4 linked regions of the Callithrix jacchus genome follow. The protein of the gene in region 1 interacts with the protein of each later gene in a biochemical or structural test. Links are inferred from orthologs where the notes say so. Each region holds a gene or a part of one and is shown in the gene's direction. Other genes may lie near its edges.

Region 1 (5,728 bases):
ATATGCTGGGAAGGATGTATTTGAGCAAAAGAAGAGCATTAGGTTAGTTTTGTTGAATACTGTTGAGTTTGCGGCATATCCAGGTAAAGGTAAAGATATCCAGAGTCCAGTTGGATATACAGTTGTCCCTTAGTATCTATGAGGGATTGGCTCCAGGACCCCTATGGATACTAAAATCCATAGATGCTTAAGTCGCTTATATAAACCGGATAGTACTTGCAGGTAACCTAGCACATCTTTAGAGACAGGGTCTTGCTCTGTCATCCATGCTGGAGTGCAGTAACTAGATGGTGGCTCACTGCAGCCTAGAACTCTTGGGTTCAAGCAATCCTTTCACCTCAGCCTCTGGAGTAGCAGTGACTACAGGTGGGCAGCACCATGCCTGGCTAGATTTTTGTGTGTTTGGTTGGTTGTTTTTTTTTTGTTTTTTTTTTTTTTTTCAGAGTTTTACTCTTGTTACCCAGGCTGGAGTGCAATGGCATGATCTCGGCTCACTGCAACCTCCACCTCCTGGCTTCAAGCAATTCTCCTGCCTCAGCCTCCCAAGTAGCTGGGATTACAGGCATGCACCACCACGCCCAGCTAATTTTTTGGATTTTCATTAGAGACAGGTTTCTCCGTGTTGGCCAGGCTGGTCTCGAACTCTGAACTTCAGGAGAGCTGCCTGTCTCAGCCTCCCAAAGTGCTGGGATTACAGGCATGAGCCACCACACCCATCCACCTGGCTAGTTTTTTTTTTTTTTTTTTTTTTAATCCAAGTCATAGCACCAAAAAAAAATTAAAAATTGTTGAAGAGATGGGGTTTCACTATGTTGCCCAGGGCAACTAATTCCTGGCCTCAAGCATTCCTCCTGCTTCAGCCTCCCGAAGTGCTAGGATTACAGGCTTGAGCCACTGCATCCAGTGCATCTCATATGCTTCAGATCACCTCTACATTACTTACAGTACCCAATGCAATGTAAATGCTATGTAAAGAGTTGTTATACTGTATTGTTCAGGGAATAATGACAAAATAGTTTGTACATGTTCCTTTTTTTTCCCCCAAATATATTCAACCCTTAGTTGATTGGTCCATAGATAAGGAACCTACAGATATGGCAGGCCAGGTGTATCCATCCAGATCATAGGGGAGGGATGTGGCCTGGTGATATAAGGTTAAAGAGTCACTTGTCTAGAGATTATAGCAGGAATCATCTGATGGGATGAGATGATCCAGGAATAATGGGGAAAGCAAGAAGCAACCTTTAAGGATCAGGAAAAAAATACTCTGGAAGAAAACAGAACTAGGAGGAAAATGAAGAGAGAGTTCTGTGCTGGAGAGGAAGGGTGTTTTAATAAGGGGGACATGGCTACAGAGAGATGTGAACGGGTGGTGAGGACTTTGAGTGTGCAAGTATGCCACACTTTCAAATAGCTAGGCTACAACAGGCAGAAGCTAGCATACATAAGACAAACATTTTTAAAGATGGGTGAGACTTTAGAGATGGGCAAGCCAGTAGTGAAAGAGGTTAATGATAAAGATGAGAGACAGATTGGAGATGAAGGAAGATTTCTGAAATAATGAGAGGTAATGAGATACAAAGCAAGGTACATTCTATTAACCTGGAAAAGAGGATGGATAATCTATTCTGAAATAAGAAGGTAGAAGGGAACAGTGGAATCAGGTGTGAGGGAAATACCAGATTGTGCTCAACATGTTTGCATACTATTCCCATCTTTACATACTTTCTCAACAATACTGCAAAGTAGGAGGTTTGATACATCTTCAGTTCATAAAGGAATCGATAGCACAGTTGGTAAGTAAATGGTGGTAAGTAAATGGTAGATTAGGGTTTGAGTCTAAGTATGTCTGCCTCCAAAGTTTAAATAATCTTTCTGCTGCACAGCTTCATCCCCAGTCTGTGAAATTGGGACAATAACAGAACCAGAGGCCAGGTGAGGTGACTCACATCTATCCCAGCATTTGGGGAGGCCAGAGTTCGAAGATCACTTGAGCCCAGAAGTTCAAGACCAGCCTGGGCAATATAGTGAGACCTCATCTCTAGTAAAAATTTAAAAATTATCCCGGTGTAGTAAGGCAGACCAGTGGTCCCAGCTACTCAGGAGGCTCAGGCAGGAGGATCACTTGAGCCCAGGAGGCTGAGGCTGCAGTGAACTACGTTCACACCACTGCACTGTAGTCTGGGGAACAAAGTGAGACCTGGTCTCAAAAAACAAACAAACAGCATAATTAGGAGGATTTGGGAAGGTAGTGCTTCTACTGCAGGACTTGGATGAAGGTTAACTTTCTCTTACCTATTCTTTTGGAGGAGAAAAACTCAAGACGACTTCCCAGGTTGTAATTTCCCAAGCTTTTTTTTTTTTTGTCCAGCTCCTATGCATGTCTGACAATATTTCTCATACCATCTTTCAGTAACACTTTGATTTTGCTCATACTTGCCTCACCATCACAATTACCTTTATGTTCACAAGGTCTCTGGGCCTTGCTGTCATTCCTTCATTTGGCCAAAAAATGCTTCTTCCTGAAAGTCCCCCATGAAGCATCCTCCTAGTACGAAGTACAGTTTACTAGCTCCCCAGTTTCCCTTTTCTCCTCCTTCAAGTACACGCATACCTAATGTAAGACAGGACCTTCCTCGTCCGAACTGTTGGTGTCAAGTACACAGGAGTGACACAGCCTTGAATCTAATTCCCTAGCACTTTGAATAAATCTGGAAAGACTGGTATGCTTACAAGATGATAAAAATGTACAAAATAAACATTTAAATTATACAGAATTTTTTTTTTCTTTTTTGCTTTTCTTGTCTCTGCACAGCCATTAGTTTCTGAAGATCAGACAGCAGCCCTGATGGCCCATCTCTTTGAAATGGGATTCTGTGACAGGCAGCTGAACCTGCGGCTGCTGAAGAAACATAATTACAACATCCTGCAGGTTGTGACAGAACTTCTTCAGATTAACAACAACGACTGGTACAGCCAACGTTATTGAGGAGTGACCTTGTATTAAATAATTGCCTGCTGCTCAGAGATGATCTTTATTCTGTCATTGGGGTTAAGCACTTGCTTATTTTTCATCTGATGAATCTGTATAGAGCCCATCATTGAGTTACCAAGACAGTACCTATTACAGTATTTGGGGGAGCAAATCAAAGACCAGAACTTAAATTTTCACTTTAGACATTGGATGAATAGAATAGTAGGAAGACAGTTTTGATTTGGATAAAACGCCTTTATTTTAGTGCATCGACAAGTGTAACTTCAAGTTCGTATAGAACCATTTTTCTTTCTGCTTTTATTGAAGTTGGGTATTTTTCTTTGGTTAATGTGGATATTTTATGGGAGTATCTGTTAATTTTCAGGTTTTGAAAGAAATTAACCTTGGAAGTTGTTTTCAAGAACTATTCTCATAATTTCTGTAATCTACCCCAAGCTTCATAGTTATTTGGCATTGAAATAACACCCAGAGCATGATAGAAATGTTGTTGTTATTCCTTTCTCAAGGAGAAAGTAATTTTCCTGCAAGACTTAATAATTGGCACTATTGCTAAAGACTCCATGGTGCATTCAAGGGTATCCAACTTTCAGGGATCTCTGCATTTCAGTGAGAGGAGGAAGAGTGTGCTGATTAACCCACCAGCACCTATTGAGCGATGTCTGTTATAGTAATTCTGCATACATTTTTATTTAAGGGAAAAAAAATTAAGTAGGTAGTGTGAAATATTTTGCTAACCTAATAGAAAAGGAAAAAAGTCCTATTATTTAAAGGGAAAAATACATTTAACAGTTACCTTTTTTCTTAATGTCAGGGCAGATCTTATTTTACAGTACAGTGGGGGAAATAGAAACATGTGAAAAGCAAAAGGCAGGCTCCTAAATTAATGTCAGTAAAGTTCAGGGTGGGTAAATTAGTGCGTATGAGGTATAGGAAATGCTGATGACTTCTTTAATGCATGAAGTCCATTCAGAGGTATCTAGCCCTAGAAAGCCTAGAACAGGAAGAGGCAGCTGGTGTTCTGCAGAACTTGGACGAGGGCAAAGTTGCTGAAAAAGTTTTGGTTTAACCCCAAGGTAAGTGGGACAGAGCTCGTCCAGGGGCCCAAGTTCTCTATTTACAGAAGGGAGTTGGTGAAGGAAGAGGTAACAAAAAATGCTAAACATTTTATCCATGAAAATGACTTCCAGAAAAGGAAGAATCTGAACCCCAGACCGAAGGGGGGAAAGATAATTAAAATAGTATTATCTAACCTGGTTGGTATTTGTAATGAATGGTGATTTTAATTAGTCATTAGCCATAATGATGTTTATTTGCAGTATTATCCTGAATGCTACTTAAATAAACCAGGATTAAAACTACAAGCCAACCAGGCCGTTCATTATTTAAAACGTTTTAATTAGGGCTTCCGGATTGAAGATGGAGCAGCTGGGTGTCTGTAATTGGGTTGATGGGCGGGACCTGTCTTGACCATCGGCGTTTTATAGTCGAGGGCCAGGAAGGTCCGGGTCGTCCGCTCCGTTTTAATTTTACGTAACCACTTAAAGAATGGTGAAATAAATGTTCTTGGAAATTCCTACCTGGACTGGCTAGTCCTTGCCGAAGCAGCGTCCGGGGCCTCAGGTGACGTTTGGAGAGCCGAGAGCGTCTCAGGCCGCTGCTTGGCGAAGGGGCGGGCCCGGGGACGAGGGGGTGGGCCCAGAGGGGCTGGGGCGGGACTTCCCTGGGCACTGAGTCAAAGCTTGAGGCGAGTGTCCGCTTCCCCACTTTCGATTCCGCTTGCTGCCGTTTCTGTCGCTGCGATAGTCCGCTGGTAAGACCCTCCTCAGACTCTTTGCGTTCCCTTTCGGAGGTCAAGAGACCTCCTGTGCCGCCGCCTCGCCCTACACACAGGCGCCCCGTGCCCGGGTACCGAACTTGACTAACGGCCTCTCGGGGTATCTGGTGGGACTTGAAATCCTCCCTCAATGAAGTCACACCTTCTGCGTCCGCGCACACCCTGTCGGCCCATGACAGAGCCGCCATGTACCCCGGAATCAGCTTGGCCCTTCGGGGAGGTCAGGGTCCTTAGTATCCTCACTCTCTAGTGCGACACATTCGGTCCCCTAGGACTCCTGAAGGCGGCAGGCGGCGCTTCTCCTCCCCACCACCGCCCAACCCAGCCCACTCTGCCCTTAGAGGCCCTTCTCCCCAAAGACACACTCCTGAAATGTCGCCCTTATGCAGCTGAGGAGCCTGGGATCCCAGAACTGAACGAGGCGAGTCTCCCTGTATTTTAGCCCAGAAAGATCTGTGTGGCTCACTTGCCGGCCTCCTTGTGCCACACAGAGTCCAGATTTATCCTTGACTTTTCCTAGTGAAAGACCCTGATTTCTCCTCAGGGTTTCTTACCCCGCCTGAGAAAGCAGTGCGGCATCTGCTTTCTCTACCAGGGCTTCCTTAGGGGTCTTAACCACACCTGTGACCAGTCTGGCCTCCTCTCTCCTTGTTTCAAGGAATCTTTTCTGCCCTATCCAACTTCCTTCCTTTGAAGTGAATGATAGCTCAGCAACTTTTCCAGAGAAAAACTAAATCCTCTGCCATTCACTTACAGAAGTTCCTTAAAGTGAAATAACTTCTGCTTTTCTTTTCCCTTTTGAGGCAGAGTGGTCTCTTTAACAATAATGAAAGGAGTTGAAATGCATTGAGACTCTGAGAATCCCATGTAACCACACTCTATCTTCCTTAGGCTTGAGC
Region 2 (6,437 bases), about 47 Mb from region 1:
TTCCGGTAGTGGGAGGTATATATTTTTAAATAATAATTCCTCCTTCTCTACAGTAAGAGAAAAACACCCAGTCTCTCTTCAATTCTGTTTCTTCTCTTCTGCATTTTCACCTACCTACCCTAGACAATGCCATCCCCATCAAATCCTGGTTCAGTGACCCCAGCGACACAGCCCTTCTCAACCTGCTCCCGATGCTGGATGCCCTCAGGTAAGGGAAGTGGGCTCTGGACCCTTGGATTTCTGAGGAAAGGAGGAGGTGGGAGATCCTAAGAGGGAATAAAAAACATTTGTCCTGTTTTACTTAGCTCTCTTCCCTTAAGAATTTAACATTTGGACCCAGGTCTTCTTACGTCAAAGCTCATCACTTTACCTAGTAGGCTGTGGGCAAATTGGACCTACCTAATCATGTGAATATGGTGATAATGTATGCCCCACCCCTCCAATGATGCATCTTATATTAGTGTTATGAGGGTATCAATATAAGGAGCTCTACCTATGCAAGTTATTGTCGTTGTCATCCTAGGTTCACTGCTGATGTCCGTTCCGTGCTGAGCCGAAACCTTCACCAACATAGGCTCTGGTGACAGCTGCTCCCCCTCCACCTGAGTTGGGGTGGGGGGGAAAGGGAGGGCTAGCCCTTGGGATGCCGTCTGATACCCTGTCCAATGTGAGGACTGCCTGGGCAGGGTCTGCCCGTCCCACCCCTCGCTGCCCTTGGGAGCTCTACACTCCACTTGGAGTCTGGATGGACACATGGGCTGGGAGCTCTGAAGCAGCCTCACTCTAACTTCGTGTTCACACTCCGTGGAAACCCCAGATTGGGACATAGGCGGAGGCCTAGGAGAGCTGAAACAGTGTTTGTGATGGAGAGGCAGGACTGGCCAGAGTGACAGACATACGGTGATCCAGGAGACTCAAAGAGAAGCCAAGTCAGCTTTGTTGTGATTTGATTTTTTTTAAACTCTTGTACAAAACTGATCTAATTCTTCACTCCTGCTCCAAGGGCTGGGCTGTGGGTGGGATACGGGGATTTTGGGCCACTGGTTTTTCCCTCAATTTGTCCCCCCTTTACTCTCGTATTTTTCTCTCCTTAGACTCCCTCAGACCTGTAACCAGCTTTGTCTTTTTTCCTTTCCTCTCTTTTAAACCATGCATTATAACTTTGAAACCAAAGCGGCCCTTAGGTCCTTCTCTGGGGTTTTGGGAAGTGAGGGGAGGGCACTTTATTCACATGCACCCTGTCTCCAGAGCAGTGGGCGAAGAGCCTACTGCTGGACTCGAGGGCACGGGGAAAGGTGCTGTTGAGCATGAGGATACAATAGTGAATGTGGACACCAGATGCTTTGGCGGGAAGGGCCGAGTGACAGGATGGGCGCACTGGTGTGGAGTGGAAGGATACCTTTGGAGCAGTAGGCTATTGAAGGCCGAAAGGAGAAACCTGGGCGGCCAAAGGGCGTAGAGCTAGAGAAACGTCGGGCTTCGATGGGAGCACTGATATGGACAGACTACGCGGGCGCTGCCCCCTAGGGCCGCCTCGACCTCCGCTCTCGGAAGAGGGGCCCCTCCCCGACGTTGCTCAGCTGGCCCCGCCCCCCCAGCCGGCCCTACTTTCCGCCCCCCCAGCCGGCCCTACTTTCCGCACCCGCCACGTGACGCTCCGCCCTCTCTGAGATCACATGATTTCACTCAAACTGCGATGTTCCTCCGCGCTGGCGTAGTCCTTACCTCTTGGACCTCCTCTCCAGTCCCTATTGGTCTACTCATTCCTGGTACTTAAGCGTTCTGTACATCTCTCCAAACATCCGTTTTCTTTTTGAACTCTTATTTGTGGAGATCATCTCTGTCCCTTGGGTACTACTTTGTTTTGGTGTCAACGGCCGCCTTCAGCGTAGCAACGCGTTTTGTGAATAGCCGACCTTGTAATTGTCTCTGCTGTTCCTCTACGTTATTTCCGAAAGGAACTTGGGAAACCAAGTCTCATGGTTATTACCATCTCATACTCCTCTTGAGCCCCAGCTTCCTTGAGGGGGAGGTTGGGGAATAGGTTTAGAGGTATTTTCAATGAGTGAAAACCAACCGTCTTTGCTACGTCTTCTGCGTATCCCACACATTAATTCCAAAGCGATTACGCTAATGGCGTGAGGGGGAGGGTCAGTGGGTGTTGCTACGCTAGCAGCGTTAGTGCCGATGAGGTAGTGGCGTATCTTAACGGGGGGGCCGTCCTGTTAGTCGGGGGCGGGGTTGGTGAATAGGGAAGTGGCGCAAATTCGTGGATCGCTCCGCTGATTCCGCCCGCCCGTCGCCACTGTTGCCGCCGTCCCCCGTCCGGCCCCCCCCTCCCGGGTTCCCTCAGCCCAGCCCGGTCCAGCCCGGTTCTCGGGAGGATGAAGTTCGTGTACAAAGAAGAGCATCCATTCGAGAAGCGCCGCTCTGAGGGCGAGAAGATCCGAAAGAAATACCCGGACCGGGTGCCGGTGAGGACAGTAGCCTGGGCGGAGGGCGCGGGACGCTTACGCTGACGCCACAGCCTGGCCTTGGATTTGGGACGGGCAGCGGGAGGATCAGGCTGCTGGCTATGGCGGGATTGGAAGCGACCCTGAAACTGCTGTCCCTGGGACCGAGGATGAAAGGGGTGGGGTAGTGGTGGACCTGGAGTAGAGAGGGATGTAGACAGGAGAGAGAAACCTTGGCATTTGTGAGTGGAGGCCTTAAGAGAGTTTGACAGCCTGAGCTTCAAGTGGTCATCCCCCCAGCTAGTTGAGGTTGTGAGATTGAAGCACTAGTCGGCCCAGACAAGTCATCTCCATCTGATTAAGATAGTTGTTTATGGTGACGCCCTATTCGGGGGATGGATCCTGGCTATTTAAATGAACTCCAGTCAGTAAGGTCAGGATCTCTGGGACTCAGGGCTGCACCGCGTGTGCAAAGACAGATGAGTCTGGGGTAGATTTAGGTGCAAGGGTTATTGTTACTTGAGTTCTTGACAGGTGCAGCTGCGGGGCTGCATTCCTCTGCCTCCTCATTTTCATCCTCTCTTTATCAGGTGATAGTAGAAAAGGCTCCCAAAGCTCGGATAGGAGACCTGGACAAAAAGAAATACCTGGTGCCTTCTGATCTCACAGGTGGGAACCTGACCCAAGACCCAGGCTTGCTTCCTGTGGGTGGGAGTGCAGTCTCTGCAGGAGGAGGCTCCACCTAGCAGCTGTTCTTTTGAGGGCATTTTTGACCTCTCTGACTTTCTCACACCTTGTATCTTTTGCAGTTGGTCAGTTCTACTTCTTGATCCGGAAGCGAATTCATCTCCGAGCTGAGGATGCCTTGTTTTTCTTTGTCAACAATGTCATTCCACCCACCAGTGCCACAATGGGTCAACTTTACCAGGTACGGTGACTTGGAAGTGGTGGAGGCTTTGGAGAAGCCTCTGGAAGAGCGTGAGCGGAAGAAAGTGTTGTTACATCAGTAGTTTTGCACTAGCTTCCTGACTTGCCTTAAAATTTCATGATAGCAGTGGGTTGGGGGTTTGAACAGAACAGTAGGAGTAGAGAGACGCAAAGAGAACAGTGAGCTAGAGGAACTTTCTGATCAGGACTCTTCCCAGTCCTCCTCCCCTTTCCAGAGCAGCAGACAACCGTTTAAGGTCTTTTTGCCCAGGACTGCAGAGATTATACTGCTTATGCTAGTCCTTGGAGTCAGTGAAGGAGTCGGGCACTGGTTTGTGGTTCTAGAAGACCATAAACTGGTTTGGGTGGTGGTTGGTTGAAGTAAGTTAGGAGCCCAGTTGCTGAACAGTTTTCTGCTTTCATCTCAGGAACACCATGAAGAAGACTTCTTTCTGTACATTGCCTATAGTGACGAAAGTGTCTACGGTCTGTGAAGCTGCTGCCCTTGAGCTGGAGGGGGCTCTCATTCTACAAAGAGAGAGGTGGCCCCCCTTTCTTGACTTCTTCCTCCTTCAAGCTCAAATACCACCTCCCTTATTCAGGACCGGCACTTCTTAATGTTTGAGGCTCTCTCTCCAGCCTCTCTTAGGAGGGGTAATGGTGGAGTTGGCATCTTGTACCTCTCCCTTCTCCTTTTTTCCCCTTTCTCTGCCGGCCTTTCCCATTCTGCTTTAGACTCTTGATTGTCAGTCTCTGTCACATCTAGTGATTGTTTTGGTTTCTGTTCCCTTTCTGACTGCCCAAGGGGCTCAAAACCCCAGCAATCCCTTCCTTTCACTACCTTCTTTTTTGGGGGTAGTTGGAAGGGACTGAAATTGTCGGGGGAAGGTAAGAGGCACATCAATAAAGAAGAAACCACCAAGCTGAGCTGAATTTTGCCTTGTGTTGCTCCCCTCCTCCCGCTGTTTTTTAGTCTTTCCAAGGCGTCAGTGGGTTTCAGTGGTGGGGAAAGAAGAGTAATGGGTACAAGCTGGAGGGATAGAAGTATATTTTGATTTATTCTGTTCATGTTGAGCTTTTCCCGGTCTGCAAAGAGAGGGTGATTTTGTTGTAATGGAATGGAATACTGAGTATCATTTCATAAAACTTTAGTTTTATGACACATATGTGAAACTAAATGTTAAATATGCTTATGTAAAAAATACTGTTCGAAAGTACCTGCTTTAGGTGGACATTTATTAGAACATTTTAATTAAGATATTTTCATGTGTAGGAGCTGGTAAAACGGCTGTTCTCAGTTGTATGTCACTTGGCTAGAGTTTTGCCGGCGAGTGGGATCCGGAGGAGTGGAATCAGGGAGGGAGAAGACTGGGAGGAGGGAGCCATTATCGCCAGGAGTACTTCATCTCCCAGTGATCATTTCTCCCGCAGGCCGGAAGTGGGGCGGTCCCCCGGGGAAGAAAGAAGCTGCAGAACGAGGCAGTATGGTGGCCGAGAGTTCTAATCCCTTCTTCCTCTTCTTTCATCGTCCCGCCCAGCCTACATCTCCCAGGGGTCTGCGCGCGCATTTCCGCTCTCCCCTCCGGCTCCCGGTCTCCCCGCCACTCCCCGGGGGAGGGGAGCGGTTTGGTGCGCCTGCGTCACCCCGTGGCTTTCTGGGAATCCAAGTTCCGGAGGCTCATGCGGTCCCTTTTCCGCTGAACCCGTACGGACTACAAAACCCTTGGTGCACTGCGCCTCGGCGCCGGCGGAGGGAGGAGGGAGAGGAGGGAAGGAGGAGAGAGAAGGAGGAGGAGGGAGCAGGCGGCCGGCGGCGCGGGGGGAGGGGGCCCGGTCCGGGAGTGCGGGAGGCAGTGGTAGAGGGAGGTGGCGGCAGCGGCTAGCGGACTCGTCTCAACCGGGCTGAGGCGGACACTTCTGTGGAGCGAAGCAGTAGGAGCACCGAGCAGTAGAGGCGGCACCGGGATCCCCGGCTCCGGGGAGGGGGGCGCCGGACCGGGAGGAGGGGAGGGGGCGATGCTGGAAGCCATGGCGGAGCCCAGCCCCGAAGGTGAGCTCTAGACCGGCACGGAGCGCGGAGCCGGCGCGGGGCGGGCGAGGAATCAATTGGCAAACTTGGAGGTCGAGCCCCGAAGCCCGGCGGGGGAGTTCGGGGAGGGGGTCGGGAGCCTGGCCCTGGAGGTGGGAGAGCGAGGAGTTGAGAGACCTTGGAGAAAGAGGAGTGGGAGACTGGGCTAGGGGAGTTGGAGATCAGACGGTGTGGGGGATAGGAGCTGGAAACCCGGAGCCTCGGGGACTAGGGGCCGAAAGGGCCACCGGCAGATTGGGGCCCTGGAACTGGGAGGTTGGAGGAATCCGGTGGCCGGAGAGTTGCTAAGGGAGGACGAAGAAGAAGATGAGTGAGGGGCCCGGTAGTTCGCCGAGGTGGGGTAGTTTGTAGCGGTGGTGCCGGAGCTCCGAGTAGTTGCCGCCGGAGAATGCCCGGTGATTGTCGGAGGGGTGGGCAGGTAGTTGTGGGGAGAAGAGGGGGTCTGGGTATTGTCTACGGCAGACGGACCTGTACAGGGGGATAGTTGTGGAGCGAGCGAGCCAGGAAGCGAGGCGAACTGGGTAGTTGTAGGGGGTGGTGGGGCGGGGTGGGGGGGTTAAGACCGGCGACTTGCTTGGGGGGGTAGGGTTGGTCCGCGAGGGTTAGAGCCTGGGAGTTGCGGAGGGTGAGGGGGGCATCGGCGGCAGCAGCGGTGGCTGCTGTGAAGAGAGAGAGGGTAGCTGGTTGGGGGGAAGGTGTTGGAGTTGAGGGGTCCGTAGCCTAGTGACTGGGTGGTGAGTACGGGGGCGAAGGGGGGGGGGCGGCGGCCGGAGAGGGCTCGGGAACGGGGCCGGGGGGCCCGGCGGGGAGCCCGAGGAGCTCGAGACGGGGAGGGGCCAAAGCCCCGGATGGGGGCGGAGGGACAGCGAAATTGTGGGGAGCGCGGTATTGGGGGGGCAGGTGGGGCCGCGTCCGGATTAGAGCTCCCTGGTCTGTCCCGGCCGCGAAGTAGCGTTGGATACGTGTGC
Region 3 (6,588 bases), on another chromosome or scaffold:
GAGACAGGGTTTCACCATGTTGGTCAGGCTGGTCTTGAACTCCTGACCTTGTGATCCACCTACCTCGGCCTCCCAAAGTGCTAAGATTACAAGTGTGAGCCACCTCGTCCTGCGTGTATTTTTAGTTGAGATGAGGTTTTGGTATGTTGGCCAGGCTGGTCTCCAACTCCTGACCTCTGGTGATCCCCCAGCCTTGGCCTGCCAAAATGCTAGGATTATAGGCGTGAGTCACCATGCCTGGCACAGGGGGTTAATTTCTAAGGCCTTGTGATATTGAGAAATACATTTTGTTTTCATCAAATTTCCTGGCATACAACTTCTTAAAATTCTTGGAATTTTCTTTGTTTTTGTTTTTGAGATGAAGTCTCACTCTCTTGCCCAGGCTGGAGTGCAGTGGTGCAATCTCAGCTCACTGCAACCTCCACCTCCTGGGTTCTCATGATTCTCCTGCCTCAGGATCCTGAGTAGCTGGGACTATAGGTGCCCACTATCACACCTGGCTAGTTTTTGTATTTTTAGTGAAGACAGGGTTTCACCATGATGGCCAAGCAGATATGGGACTCCTGACTGCAGGTGATCCACCTGCCCTGGCTTCCTAAGGTGCTGGGATTACAGGCATGAGTCACCTGGCCTGGTGATAAGTGTCTTTTTTAACGTTCATGAGTTGACCGATGGCTGGCAGTCCCTGGATAGCTTCTGGATGGGGGCTGGTCACCAGAAAGACAAAGGTGAGATTAGAGGGTTGGAATTTTTAGCCCCACCTCCAGCCTCTGGGGAGGGTAGAGGGGTTGGAGGTTAAATTGATTATCAGTGGCCAACGGTTTAATCAATCTTGCGGATGTACTAAAACCTCTATAAAAACCCAAAAGGCCTAGGGTTCTGATTTTTGTTATGAGAATATAGGAGAAATGGCATTTGTTCCCTCTATGTATGACTAGAGGCCCATTTTCTTAACTCTAAAAGGGAGATCTTGGGGGCAGTTGTTCTTCCTTCCTTCTTTTATCCCAGAGAAAACTAAATGACAAAATATACCTACCAGAGTGTTGTACTTGGACTTCCTTGTGACAACTCTGGGTTTGTTCGGGTTTTTGCTTGTTCGTTTGTTTGAGATGGAGTTCCATTCTTGTTGCCCAGGCTGAAGTGCAATGGTTGGACCTAAGCTCACTGCAACCTCCACCTCCTGGGTTCAAGTGATTCTCCTGCCTCAGCCTCCCAACTAGCTGGGATTATAGGCTCCTGCCACCACACCTGGATAATTTTTGTATTTTTAGTAGAGACGGGGTTTCAGCATGTTGGCCAGGCTGGTCTCAAACTCCTGACCTCAGGTGATCTACACACCTTGGCCTCCCAAGTGCTGGGATTACAGGCATGAGGCACTGCGCCTGGCCGACAACTATGGGTTTTAATCCAAACTGCATCTGTGTAGCTGTGTGCCCTCGGCCAAATCGTTTCACCTTTTTTTTTTTTTTTTTTTTTTTTTGAGGCAAGTCTTACGCTGTTGCCCAAGCTAGAATGCAGTGGTGCAATCTTGACTAATCACAACCTCCACCTCCCAGGTTCAGGCGATTCTCCTGCCTCAGCCTCCCAAGTAGCTGGGATGACAGGTGCTCACCACCATGCCCAGCTAATTTTTGTATTTTTAGTAGAGACAGAGTTTCACTATGTTGGCCAGACTGGTCTCGAACTCCTGACCTCCTGATCTGCCTGCCTCAGCCTCCCAAAGTGCTGGGATTACAGGTGTGAGCCACTGCGCCCGGCCTCACTTCACCTTTCTTAGTATAGGTTTCCTTCTGTGAAAAGGGCACGGACTGTGGTGAGAATTACACAGCACACTTCAGGCTGAGGTGGATCCATCTTGGACTCCTCTCAAGGTGGTTCTCTACTGAAGTACAGAAACGTCGCCAGCATAAGGCAGTTTTACGTCTCCACGGTCCGCTGCCTAGCCAATGATTTTATTACAAACCCTAATTTCTTTTGCAAAGAAACATCTTGAACTGGTCATGAATAAAGTGGCTTTTCTCTGACCAGCAAGTAGGTGGCGATTCCATTTCCACCAGAACTGACCTCGTGCTGCTCGGGGAGGGGGAGGCGGGTGAGCAGAGGCCTGATGTCACTCAGCTCTACATAAGGGCCCCCTGCAGGCTCCTGCAGGCAGTTTGGAAGCAGCTGGAGGAATGAATTAGGTTCCTGGTTGCAGTACTTTTGTTCTTCTTTTCTTTTCTTTCTTAAAACAGACAAAGCTGTTGAGTGAAATGCCGCCTCCACAGAAAATCCCAAGCGTCAGACCTTTCAAGCAGAGGAAAAGCTTGGGTAAATTTCTTGGGGTACCTTTCTGGGTTACTCGAAAGAGAGGAGAGGATCTGGCTTTCTCTTGATGTTTGCTTATTCTCTTGTGCTTGAAATATTCACAGCAATCAGACAAGAGGAAGTTGCTGGAATCTGGGCAAAGTTCCCAAACAAGATCCCGGTAAGACATCATTGTACTTCCCTTGTGGGGGGCGGGGTTCTGAACCTGTCCTTTGAAAAAACCAAGACCAGCCAACAACTTCCCTCTCTCTGTTCCAAGATCCTAAGACTCAGAGAACTCTGAGTCACATTCTTAAGGACTGACGCTCTTGACAGGTGATAGTGGAGCGCTACCCCAGGGAGAAGTTCCTGCCCCGGCTGGACAAAACCAAGTTCCTGGTCCCGCAGGAGCTGACCATGACCCAGTCCCTCAGCATCATCCGGTAGGTGGCGCAGAGCGTGCCCGGGAGGAAGGTGTCGGGGGTGTGTGGGGGCTCTTCTGTTTCCTTCGTTAGGTGGTTTTATTTTGGGGATGGGGGTATGTCAGGGAAAGAGAGGAAAGAGATTTTTTTGAAGTCATCTTTCAGATTCACTAGTGCCCTGAAAAGATGCTCTTAGAATAATTCTATTTTAAATCCGGGTGCACCGACTCATGCCTGTAATCCCAGCACTTTGGGAGGCTGAGGTTACGAATTCGAAAACAGCCCAGCCAACATGGTGAAACCCTGACTCTACTAGAAATACAAAAATTAGCTGGGTGTGGGGGTGCACGCCTGTAATGCCAGCTGCTCAAGAGGCTGAGGCAGGAGAATCGCTTGAACCTGGGAGGCAGAGGTTGCAGTGAGCTGAGATTGCACCGTTGCACTCCAGCCTGGGCAACAAGAGTAAAACTCCATCTCAAAAAAAAAAAGAAAGAAAGAAAAAATTACTCTATTTTATTTTACACAAAGATGGCTGTATAATTGTCAGTGACCAAACCTTTGGGGTTATTTGGGGAGGAGTTATCTGGGTGTAAAATGAATTGGATTCTAGTTACTCCCATCTCCCACTGCTGCATGGACATAGCCCACCTGAAGGCTCAAAGCTCTAAGATAGGAATGGGTGGGCTGTGCCCGCTTCACCAATTAGAGCACCTGGAGGAAGTGTGCTTAAAGTGAGGCCAAGCCTTCACCTAGGCACCTACGTTTTCACACTGCCATCTGCTCCGGGATAACTGGGCACTCAGATTGCCCTTGGCATTTGAAGCGTGTTCAACTAAATATGGCTGCCTTCCTATCGCCTTGATGTGAACGCAGAAATAACACAGGAAGGAAAGGGCACACTTCAAGGCAGGAGATCCCTTCCAAGTGTCATCCTAGGCTGTTCAACAGTGACATGCCAGGCCGGGCGCAGTGTCTCGAGCCTGTAATCCCAGCACTTTGGGAGGCCAAGGCAGGTGAATCACCTGACATCAGGAGTTCAAGACCAGTCTGGCCAACATGGTGAAACTCCGTATCTTCTAAAAATGCAAAAACTAGCTGAATGTGGTGGCACACGGCTGTAATCCCACCTACTTGGGAGGATAAGACAGGAGAATCGCTTCAACCTGGGTGGTGGAGGTTACAGTGAGCTGAGATCACACCATGGCACTCCAGCATGGGCAACAGAGTGAGTGAAATTCCATCTCAAAAAAAAAGTGAGATGCCAGAGAGACTATGTATCACTTTTGTACCCCTGGGGAAACAGCTTTAATTTCATAGCAAACAGAAGTTATTTACTTAACTTTTTTTTTTTTTTTTTTTTTTGAGATGGCGTCTGGCTCTGCCACCCAGGCTGGAGTGCAGTGGTGTGATCTCCGCTCACTGCAACTTCTGCCTCCTGGGTTCAGACAATTCTCTGCCTCAGCCTCCCAAGTAGCTTACAGGTGCCCACCACCACGCCCGGCTAACTTTTGTATTTTTAGTAGAGACGGGGTTTCACCGTCTTGGCGAAGCTGGACTTGAACTCCTGACCTTGTGATTCCCCCGCCTCAGCCTCCCAAAGTGCTGGGATGACAGGCCTGAGCCACGGCGCCTGTCCAGCGCGCTTAGCAGGTTTGTGTCGTCATCTTTCCCTGCTGTGTTTCCTCGTCGTGTTTTGGCATATTTCATCCATGGAATGACCTCACCCTTTTGACCCAACTACGACTCCTTGTAGTTTCTAAATCTCAGGGAAGAAGGAGGGAGCAATTCCCTCTTCTTGAGCGTCATGATGCTGCAGATCCCTGGGCTGCCTCACAGGTCACCCCCTCACCACCCTCCTGCCCACCCCAGGAGCCGCATGGTCCTGAGAGACACAGAAGCCTTTTACTTGCTGGTGAACAACAAGAACCTGGTCAGCATGAGTGCAACCATGGCAGAGATCTACAGGGACTACAAGGATGAGGACGGCTTCGTGTACAAGACCTACGCCTCCCAGGAGACGTTTGGCTGCCTGGAGTCATCAGCCCCCCTGGGATGGGAGCAGCCTTGAGGACAGACCCTGCAATCCTCTCTAGCCCATGTGGGGAAGAACAGGTGCTCTGACAGACGTATCAGCCGCTGGCAGAAGGGATTGGATTTCTCCTGTATGTATATGGAGGAGTCTGAGAAGCAGGGATGCTGGGAGTGATCAGGTCCAGCTATTGGCAGCAGAGTGGTGGCTCTTCCTAGTTTAGTTTTTGTGCTCCATGCTCTTGTGTTCTTCTAAGAAAAATGTGGGCTGCTCTTGAAAGTTTTGTAATTATAACTCTTTTTTTTTTGAGACAGGTTCTTGCTCTGTTGCCCAGGCTGGAGTACAGTGGCACGATCTTGGCTCACCACAGCCTCTGCCTCCTGGGTTCAAGGGATTCTCCTGCCTCAGCCTCCTGAGTAGCTGGGATAACAAGTGCATGCCACCACACCAGGCCAATTTTTGTAATTTTAGTAGAGACGAGGTTTCACCACATTGGCCAGGCTGGTCTCAAACTCCTGCCCACAGGTGATCCACCCACCTCTGCCTCCCAAAGTGCTGAGATTACAGGTGTGAGCCACTGCATCCAGCCATATAACTCTATTCTAAATAAGAAATGGTTGGCTTGTGTGATGGCTTTGTGTGATGAGCTGGAGATAATATTTTTCAAGTGTCTTCTGTGCTATATGTGGGAGGGCCATTGGGGAGTGGATTTCACTCCCTGCATGTAGGCAGGGATGCCCTGCAGGGCTCAGGCCTAGAGAACCTCCAGCCTGTAGACTGCCTCTGTGGAACCCAATGAAGCCAGTGTGACCCATGATAAGCTCACCTGGAGGCGCCCTCTCCTGTGTCATTAGAGAGATTATCCTGTTTCCCCAGCGTTCACTCTATGTGGTTATTTTCTCTTTTTGTCCTGCTATACCAGACATATTTATGCCAAAGCTGTAACTTCTCAACATAGTCATTTAAATGCACATGTTTACTAGGTGCCAAGCTTTACTCTGAAATAAACATTCTTTATTTTAAAGGAGCTTTATTCTTCGGCTTCTTACCACAACTCTCTATGGCTAACTACTGCTACAGTTGCCCACACAATGGGTGGGTGTGATCGCTTGGTGGGTGACGTCCACTGACTACCACCACGGAGGATGTAGCGAGGGGATGCATTAATTCTCACAAGTCAGGAGGGCACTGGGGATAGTTCCCACCGCAGTGCCTCCGGGAACAAAGGTGAACACAGGGCACTCACTGGGCTGGTTAGCTGAGTCACCGTATGCAGAGGCGGAGTCAAGGAGTGCAGGCGCAGTCACCGATCATGCCTCTCCACAGGCTGCAGGTACAGAGAATGGCGAATAATCCTGAGGAGTAGGTAAGGAGACATGAAAATGGCGAATAAGCTTCTCCTTAGAAGGGAATTTTTTTCCTCCATTAATGAGCCTTTTTATTATTGTCATGGTTTTTTTTAATTTTTTGGCTTTGTTTTGTTTTGTTTTTTGAGACAAAGTTTCACTCCTGGTGCTGAGGCTGGAGTGCAGTGGCGGGATCTCGGCTGACTGCAACCCCCACCTCCCAGGTTCAAGTGATTCTCCTGCCTCAGCCTCCCGAGTAGCTGGGATTACAGGTATTTGCCACCACGCCCAGTTAATTTTGTATTTTTACTAGAGATGAGGTTTCTCCATGTTAGTCAGGCTGGTCTTGAACACCTGACCTCAGGTGATCCGCCCACCTGGACCTTGCAAAGTGCTGGGGTTACAGGCATGAGCCACCACACCTGGCTTTTTAAATTTTTTAATCGTAGGTTCCTTACTGGTTTTGCTTCCATGAGTGGCTGTGACCAGGGGAAAAGGGTGAGGA
Region 4 (5,755 bases), about 120 Mb from region 1:
TTGCCTCAGCCTCCTGAGTAGCCGGGATTATAGGTGTGCACCACCATGCCTGTCTAATTTTTGTATTTTTAGTAGAGACGAGGTTTCACCATGTTGGTCAGGCTAGTCTCCAACTCCTGACCTAGTGATCAGCCTGCCTCGACCTCCCAAAGAGCTGGGCTTACAGGCGTGAGCCGCTGTACCCAGCTGCCATCTTTTTACTTTTGGTGCCCTTAGGTTTTAAATGTCCTCTTGTAAACAGCATAGAGCTGCATTTTATTTTTTCTTGGCCGATCTGGTAATCTGTGTTTTGAGAAATGAAGGTAAACCACATTTTCTGCCTCGGGTTTTGTACCATTTATTTACCATCCCTTTTACTTTGCTTTACTTTGCTATTAGTTTTAATACCCATCACCACCCTTTTCTCGGCATTGGCAGTTACAGTTCCGTTTCTACTCTTTTGATGATCCCTCTTAAATATCTGAAATACTCACCTAACTTTACAAAGCCTAACAATGCTCAGTCTCTTTACCCTTCCGAGAACACCTTAACTCTGCCCTCTCAGTCTTCCAAGTTCTTGCGTCTCATACATCTTGTTTCTGTAGCCCGCAAATTAATCATTATTCATGTTGCATATTACATGCTTGTTTAGATTTACTCACGTTTACCAATTTGCTCACCATTTTTCCATCTAATTTCTTCCTTTTCGGTTCCATGTGCTTGTTACTGAAGTACATTCTTTAAAAATTATTTCAGCTGCCGCACTCAGTGGCTCACGCCTGTAATCCAGCACTTTGGGAGGCGGAGACGGATGGATCACGAGGTCAGGAGATCAAAACTATCCTGGGCAACGTGGTGAAACCCCGTCTCTACTAAAAATACAAAATTAGCTGGGTGTGGTGTCACGTACCTGTAGTCCTAGCTACTCAGGAGGCTGAGGCAGGAGAAATCGCTTGAACCCGGGAAGTGGAGGTTGCAGTGAGCTGAGATTGCGCCAGTGCACTCCAGCCTGGGCGACAGAACGACTCAGTCCCACCCCCCAAAAATAATTTCAGCAACAGTCTTTCGTGTAAGCTCTTTGTCACCACCTATCTTTACTTCTTAACTCTTAAATCATGGATCAACACCTCGTTGACAGCATTTTTCCTGTCAACGAGGTGTAAAGCGTTACATTTTACTGTAGCCTTCTACGTTTGCTGCTGAGAAGTTTGTTATTGGTGTAATTTTTAAAATCCATCATCCTTGGTCGCTTTTAAAATCGCATAGTCTTTGGAGTTCTGCAGATTCACTAGCGTCCAGATGTTCATCTCCGGTGTTTGCATTCCACCCGATTTTAAGAATCACTTCTGGCAGCTCTCCTTCAGGAACTGCCTCTGCAGGGAGCTCTGCCCCGGCCTGTGAGATCTCCCGGCATTGCCATCCGTGGCTTTTTCCTTTTTATTCTCCATCACCTGTCTCTCTGGTGAGCTGCTTCCGATCAGCCTCCAGGTCCGCGCACTCTTTTCTGCTGTCCTACACCTCATCCTCCGAGACCTGAATTTCCATGGCTCTACTTGTCAATTCTAGAATTCCTTTGCAAACCTGGGCCTTCTTTTGTGATGTCTTGCTTGATCCTGTGCCTCCTGCACCTTCTCCCGTCTCTCGTCCTGAGCCCCTAGAAGGCGCCGGCTGTTTCCCACGGTGCCCAGAATCGCGCCAGGCCTGGCACAGACTCGGTGAGGGCGCGGGGAGCGGTGCCGCGGGGCTGCAGCCTGGCCCGCCCATTCCCTCAGCCCTTGGCAGCCCCGCCGCCCTCCAGGCCTCACCTGAGTTCCGCGCCGGGAGAGACTCCTGGGCCGGCCATGACGTCACAGGACTGTGACGCGCCCAGGAGCCCCGCCCCTCGCGTCCCGAGCCGGGGACCCAGGGGCTCTGCGCCGTGACGTCATGAGCCCGGGCGGGCAGGTTGTGCGTCGGCCCAATGGGAGCAGTGCGCCGGCCTCCCCTTTAAGGAATGTTGTGACCTGACGTCACCGGGCGAGTTACCTCCCGCAGCCGCCGCCGCCGCGCTCAGCGCGAGCCCCGGAGCCCTTCAGCGTGAGGCACGGAGCCCCCGGAGCCCCCAAACCGCAGCCACATCCCCACGTCCCAGAGCCCCGGCCTGCGCGCCCAACCGGGCCCGCGCGATGCCCTCAGACCGGCCTTTCAAGCAGCGGCGGAGCTTCGGTGAGGCCCCGCGGGCAAGCTGTGAGCTCGGAGCAGGGGTACGCGGGGGCCCGGCCGACCCCGACTACCGCGGGTGACGTCAGTCCTGTGACGTCAGGCCCCAGCCGGACCCTCGGGATGGGAGGCTGACTCCAGCCTGGGCGGAGGCCGCCCACCTCCCCACCATGATAGGTGCTAGGGGCTGTGGGGCCTGCCGGCCCCGGGGGCGGGGGCTGGAGCTGGGGCGGGGCCGGGGGCCGCCCCTTGGGGACAGGCGGGGCGGAGACACGGGGAGGACCTGGGCCCGGCTCAGCCCGGCCTCAAGGTCCGGCCGCCATCCGCAGCCGACCGCTGTAAGGAGGTACAGCAGATCCGCGACCAGCACCCCAGCAAGATCCCGGTGAGTCCGGTGCCCCCAGCCCTGCCCCGCCCTGGCCGCGCCTCGCGCGCCCCCGACACGAACCCCTGCCCGCCTGCCCCGCTCCCAGGTGATCATCGAGCGCTACAAGGGTGAGAAGCAGCTGCCCGTCCTGGACAAGACCAAGTTCCTGGTCCCGGACCATGTCAACATGAGCGAGTTGGTCAAGATCATCCGGTGCGTGGGCAGCCGCCGCCAGGAGGCAGCTTGGGTCTGGCGGGGAGCCGGGTTCCCGCCGAGAGGAGGTGGGAGTGGGGTCAGTAGTGATGGGACCAGGCGGTGGGCCCCTGTTCTGGCGCGGCTGGAAAGGTCAAGGTCGGGGCTGCAGTTGGAGTCGGGTCAGAGGTGAGAGCTGGGGTGAGGATGGATGTGAAAGGCTGGGAATCATTCTGGGGGTCAGGGCTGTGCCTGCCCTGCAGCCACGTCCCTCACAGCCGCACACCCTCCCGCCTGCCTCAGGCGCCGCCTGCAGCTGAACCCCACTCAGGCCTTCTTCCTGCTGGTGAGCCAGCACAGCATGGTGAGCGTGTCCACGCCCATCGCGGACATCTACGAGCAGGAGAAAGACGAGGACGGCTTCCTCTACATGGTCTACGCCTCCCAGGAAACCTTCGGCTTCTGAGCCAGCAGTAGGGGGGTCGGCCTGGGAGTGGGGGGAAGCCCGGTCAGGCCCTGCCCAGAGAACCCCTGGTTCCTGAACTGAGCTGCCTCTGCTTGGGGGTGGGCTGGGCAGGGATGTGGCCCCGTAGTCAGAGGGCACCAACCCACCTCCTCTGCCCCTAAGTGGTTTTGTTAGGGTTGCCCCTCTGGGTGCTGGCTGGGATGGGGGAAGGTGGGAAGCATCCCCCCACACTCCTGCTGTGTGGTTCATCTTTTTTTTTAGGCCCCTGCCTGCCCCTCACCCACCCGAGGCTCTGCCCACTACCTGGACCTGCCCACCCCTGAAAGACTGGCCCCCCCACCCCTCCATCTCCACATGGTGTATGGATCTGTGGTCATTGTCCCTCTGCAGAATAAAGATTGCTCAGGCCTGCCTGGCCCTATGCCTCCAGCTGCTTGCTTGGGAGTGGGGAGGGTGCTGGTGGGGCTGTCCGAACCGTCCCTGGGCTCTGACATACCAGAAACACACACCTGTGTGTACTTTCCAGAACATTAGGGGCCACCCCCAGGAGTGCAATGCAGATATGGGCCCAGGGTAGGTTTCGTAACAAAAAACATTTATTAAGTAGCCACAACCTAACAAGCCCTGCTCACCTGCCTTTTCCAGAGCTCCCAGTTCCTCCCCAGAGGTCTTGCAGTCAGCCATGGGTCCCTTTTGATACCAGAGACTTGTGACCCTGGACTTGAACCTCTTCTGCCCAAGGACTCGCCTGCTGGCAACTCTGGCTGGAGGGCCTGGCCCAGTTTCCCGCCCCTGAGGTCCATGCAGCCCTGTGCCAGCCAGGCCTACTTGAGCACAAGCATGGCCTCCGTGCCGTCCTTGGCCGTCAAATAGAGGCCGTGTGTGAGGTAGTACTCCCGCCGCAGGAAGGCATAGAAGTAATCAGAGATGAGCAGGATCTGGGGGGAGAGAGAGAGGATGTGAGGTGCTGCAGGGTACCACCCCGTGAACCCAGGACCCCTGAGAGGCTAGCAGGTGATGGGAGACAGAGCCCCTGCCTGGCCCTGAATCAACAATCACTGGAGAGGCCCTGCGCAGGGCCCCACCTTAGGGCCCGTACTTGACACTGCAAGGTCTGTTGGCCTCTCAGAAGCTGTCCAGACTCCCCGTGCCCCCACCCATGGTCTACACCTCCATCCTAAGCTCTGGCCTCGAATGCCAGCCTGGTGCCTGTGCAACCAGAGGCCTGTGCCCCCTCCTCTGACAGGCACTTCCACCCCAGCCAGGTCCACATCAAACTCACCTTCCCCCTGTCAAACCCACTTCTCCCACTGGGCATCCATGCCCCCATCTTCCATCCAGGTGCCCAGGCCACAAAATTGCCTGAGACGTCTCTCATACAACAAGCCACCATGACCTAAACTCAAATCTACCCTTTCGATACATCCCCACAGTCACTACTCTAGACAGCCACTGTCATCTAAATAGCAAAGCTTGGTCCCTGGGCTCCCTGCTCTCAAACTCACACCCACCCCATTCTCCCTGGCAGCCAGAGGGAGCTTTTCAAAACCCACATCTGGTCTTGTTACTTCCAGCCTTCAAATCCTCCAAAGGCTTCCCATGCCTTAGGGCAAAGCTCAAACTCCCTGGCGCTCTGAGACCTTGCCCAGGTCCCTGCCCACCCTCTTCCGGCTCCACCTAATCCCATTGCAGGATCTTTACTGTTTCTTCTGCCTGGAATGTTCTCTGCCCGTCCATCTAGTTGACAGCTGCTTACCCTTCAGGTCTCAGGAAGGATCACTTGCCCCCCTCCAGATTAGTTCTTAGCCCCACTAATCTCTATTCAGTAATACAGACTCATCCAAAGTACAATTTTCCATTCAGCTGACAGCCTGACTGTGCCTCCTCCCCTGGGCCTCCATCAGGGTAGGGTCTTTGAGTGGTTCTGTCTCTATGCCATAGTGACAGAACCACATAGATACCACTATGGTATCTCTGTGCCCAGCTCAGTTTGTCCCATTCTGGGCCATACACAGAATCAAAGGGGGCCTAGGAGCTCAGCTCCACTGTCTCTTCAAGGACAATTTGCCAAGGGCCCTACACACCAGACCTGGAGTCTACAATCCCAATCAGCCCAAGCTGCTCAAGACCTCTGGTACCTGAAGCAGGGTGGGCAGGGCCCAGCCCCAGAGAAGGATGAGGGGATGGGGGCTCACACTGCAAACACCACAGCTTTCAGGCACCTGGAGGCCTCTCAGAGGATTGACACCAACCACCTCTTGGCACAGATGGGGAGAATGAGGCAGAGAGAGAACCCTTGGCTATGGTCTTGGGGCAAGACAGAGGTTGAGCTAAGCCTGGGATCTAGACCTCCAGACCCCAGCACCCTGTCCTGGGCAGCTTCTCACTCACCTAAAGGTAACACAATAGCAGCTAAGGAGAGATCAGAGGCATCTGGAGGAGTTCAGGAAGGTGTCCTGTCACCAGCAGCTCTGATGGCCTCAGGATAAGTACCTCCCGTTCTATCACCACAGAAGCCCATCTGGAAGGTTTAACAATCCTCATCTTAAACA

Evidence for each region.
Region 2: the proteins of NBR1 (region 1) and GABARAP form a complex in vitro, tested with the Homo sapiens proteins (3 studies listed by BioGRID and IntAct). The link is inferred for Callithrix jacchus from reciprocal best matches to the Homo sapiens genes NBR1 and GABARAP.
Region 3: the proteins of NBR1 (region 1) and MAP1LC3C form a complex in vitro, tested with the Homo sapiens proteins (2 studies listed by IntAct). The link is inferred for Callithrix jacchus from reciprocal best matches to the Homo sapiens genes NBR1 and MAP1LC3C.
Region 4: the proteins of NBR1 (region 1) and MAP1LC3A form a complex in vitro, tested with the Homo sapiens proteins (2 studies listed by BioGRID and IntAct). The link is inferred for Callithrix jacchus from reciprocal best matches to the Homo sapiens genes NBR1 and MAP1LC3A.

Annotation. Positions count from the first base shown.
Region 1 is NC_133506.1:120,736,101-120,741,828, reverse strand, and holds the end of NBR1 (next to BRCA1 gene 1 protein), read left to right. Parts: intron 1-2,815; coding exon 2,816-2,989; 3' UTR 2,990-4,356; downstream 4,357-5,728. Other genes in the region: uncharacterized protein LOC144582689, read right to left, coding at 4,573-5,017. UniProt on the Homo sapiens protein: Ubiquitin-binding autophagy adapter that participates in different processes including host defense or intracellular homeostasis.
Region 2 is NC_133506.1:73,731,165-73,737,601, reverse strand, and holds GABARAP (gamma-aminobutyric acid receptor-associated protein), read left to right. Parts: upstream 1-2,261; 5' UTR 2,262-2,384; coding exon 2,385-2,474; intron 2,475-3,043; coding exon 3,044-3,122; intron 3,123-3,262; coding exon 3,263-3,381; intron 3,382-3,808; coding exon 3,809-3,874; 3' UTR 3,875-4,302; downstream 4,303-6,437. Other genes in the region: CTDNEP1 (CTD nuclear envelope phosphatase 1), read left to right, coding at 124-208, 524-584; PHF23 (PHD finger protein 23), read left to right, coding at 6,318-6,437. UniProt on the Homo sapiens protein: Ubiquitin-like modifier that plays a role in intracellular transport of GABA(A) receptors and its interaction with the cytoskeleton.
Region 3 is NC_133520.1:43,983,073-43,989,660, forward strand, and holds MAP1LC3C (microtubule-associated protein 1 light chain 3 gamma), read left to right. Parts: upstream 1-2,153; 5' UTR 2,154-2,252; coding exon 2,253-2,310; intron 2,311-2,411; coding exon 2,412-2,467; intron 2,468-2,622; coding exon 2,623-2,729; intron 2,730-4,577; coding exon 4,578-4,776; 3' UTR 4,777-5,761; downstream 5,762-6,588.
Region 4 is NC_133506.1:4,743,180-4,748,934, reverse strand, and holds MAP1LC3A (microtubule-associated protein 1 light chain 3 alpha), read left to right. Parts: upstream 1-1,997; 5' UTR 1,998-2,144; coding exon 2,145-2,184; intron 2,185-2,279; exon of another isoform or gene 2,280-2,348; coding exon of another isoform or gene 2,349-2,355; intron 2,356-2,507; coding exon 2,508-2,563; intron 2,564-2,651; coding exon 2,652-2,758; intron 2,759-3,040; coding exon 3,041-3,203; 3' UTR 3,204-3,620; downstream 3,621-5,755. Other genes in the region: GPI-anchor transamidase component PIGU, read right to left, coding at 4,028-4,141. UniProt on the Homo sapiens protein: Ubiquitin-like modifier involved in formation of autophagosomal vacuoles (autophagosomes). While LC3s are involved in elongation of the phagophore membrane, the GABARAP/GATE-16 subfamily is essential for a later stage in autophagosome maturation.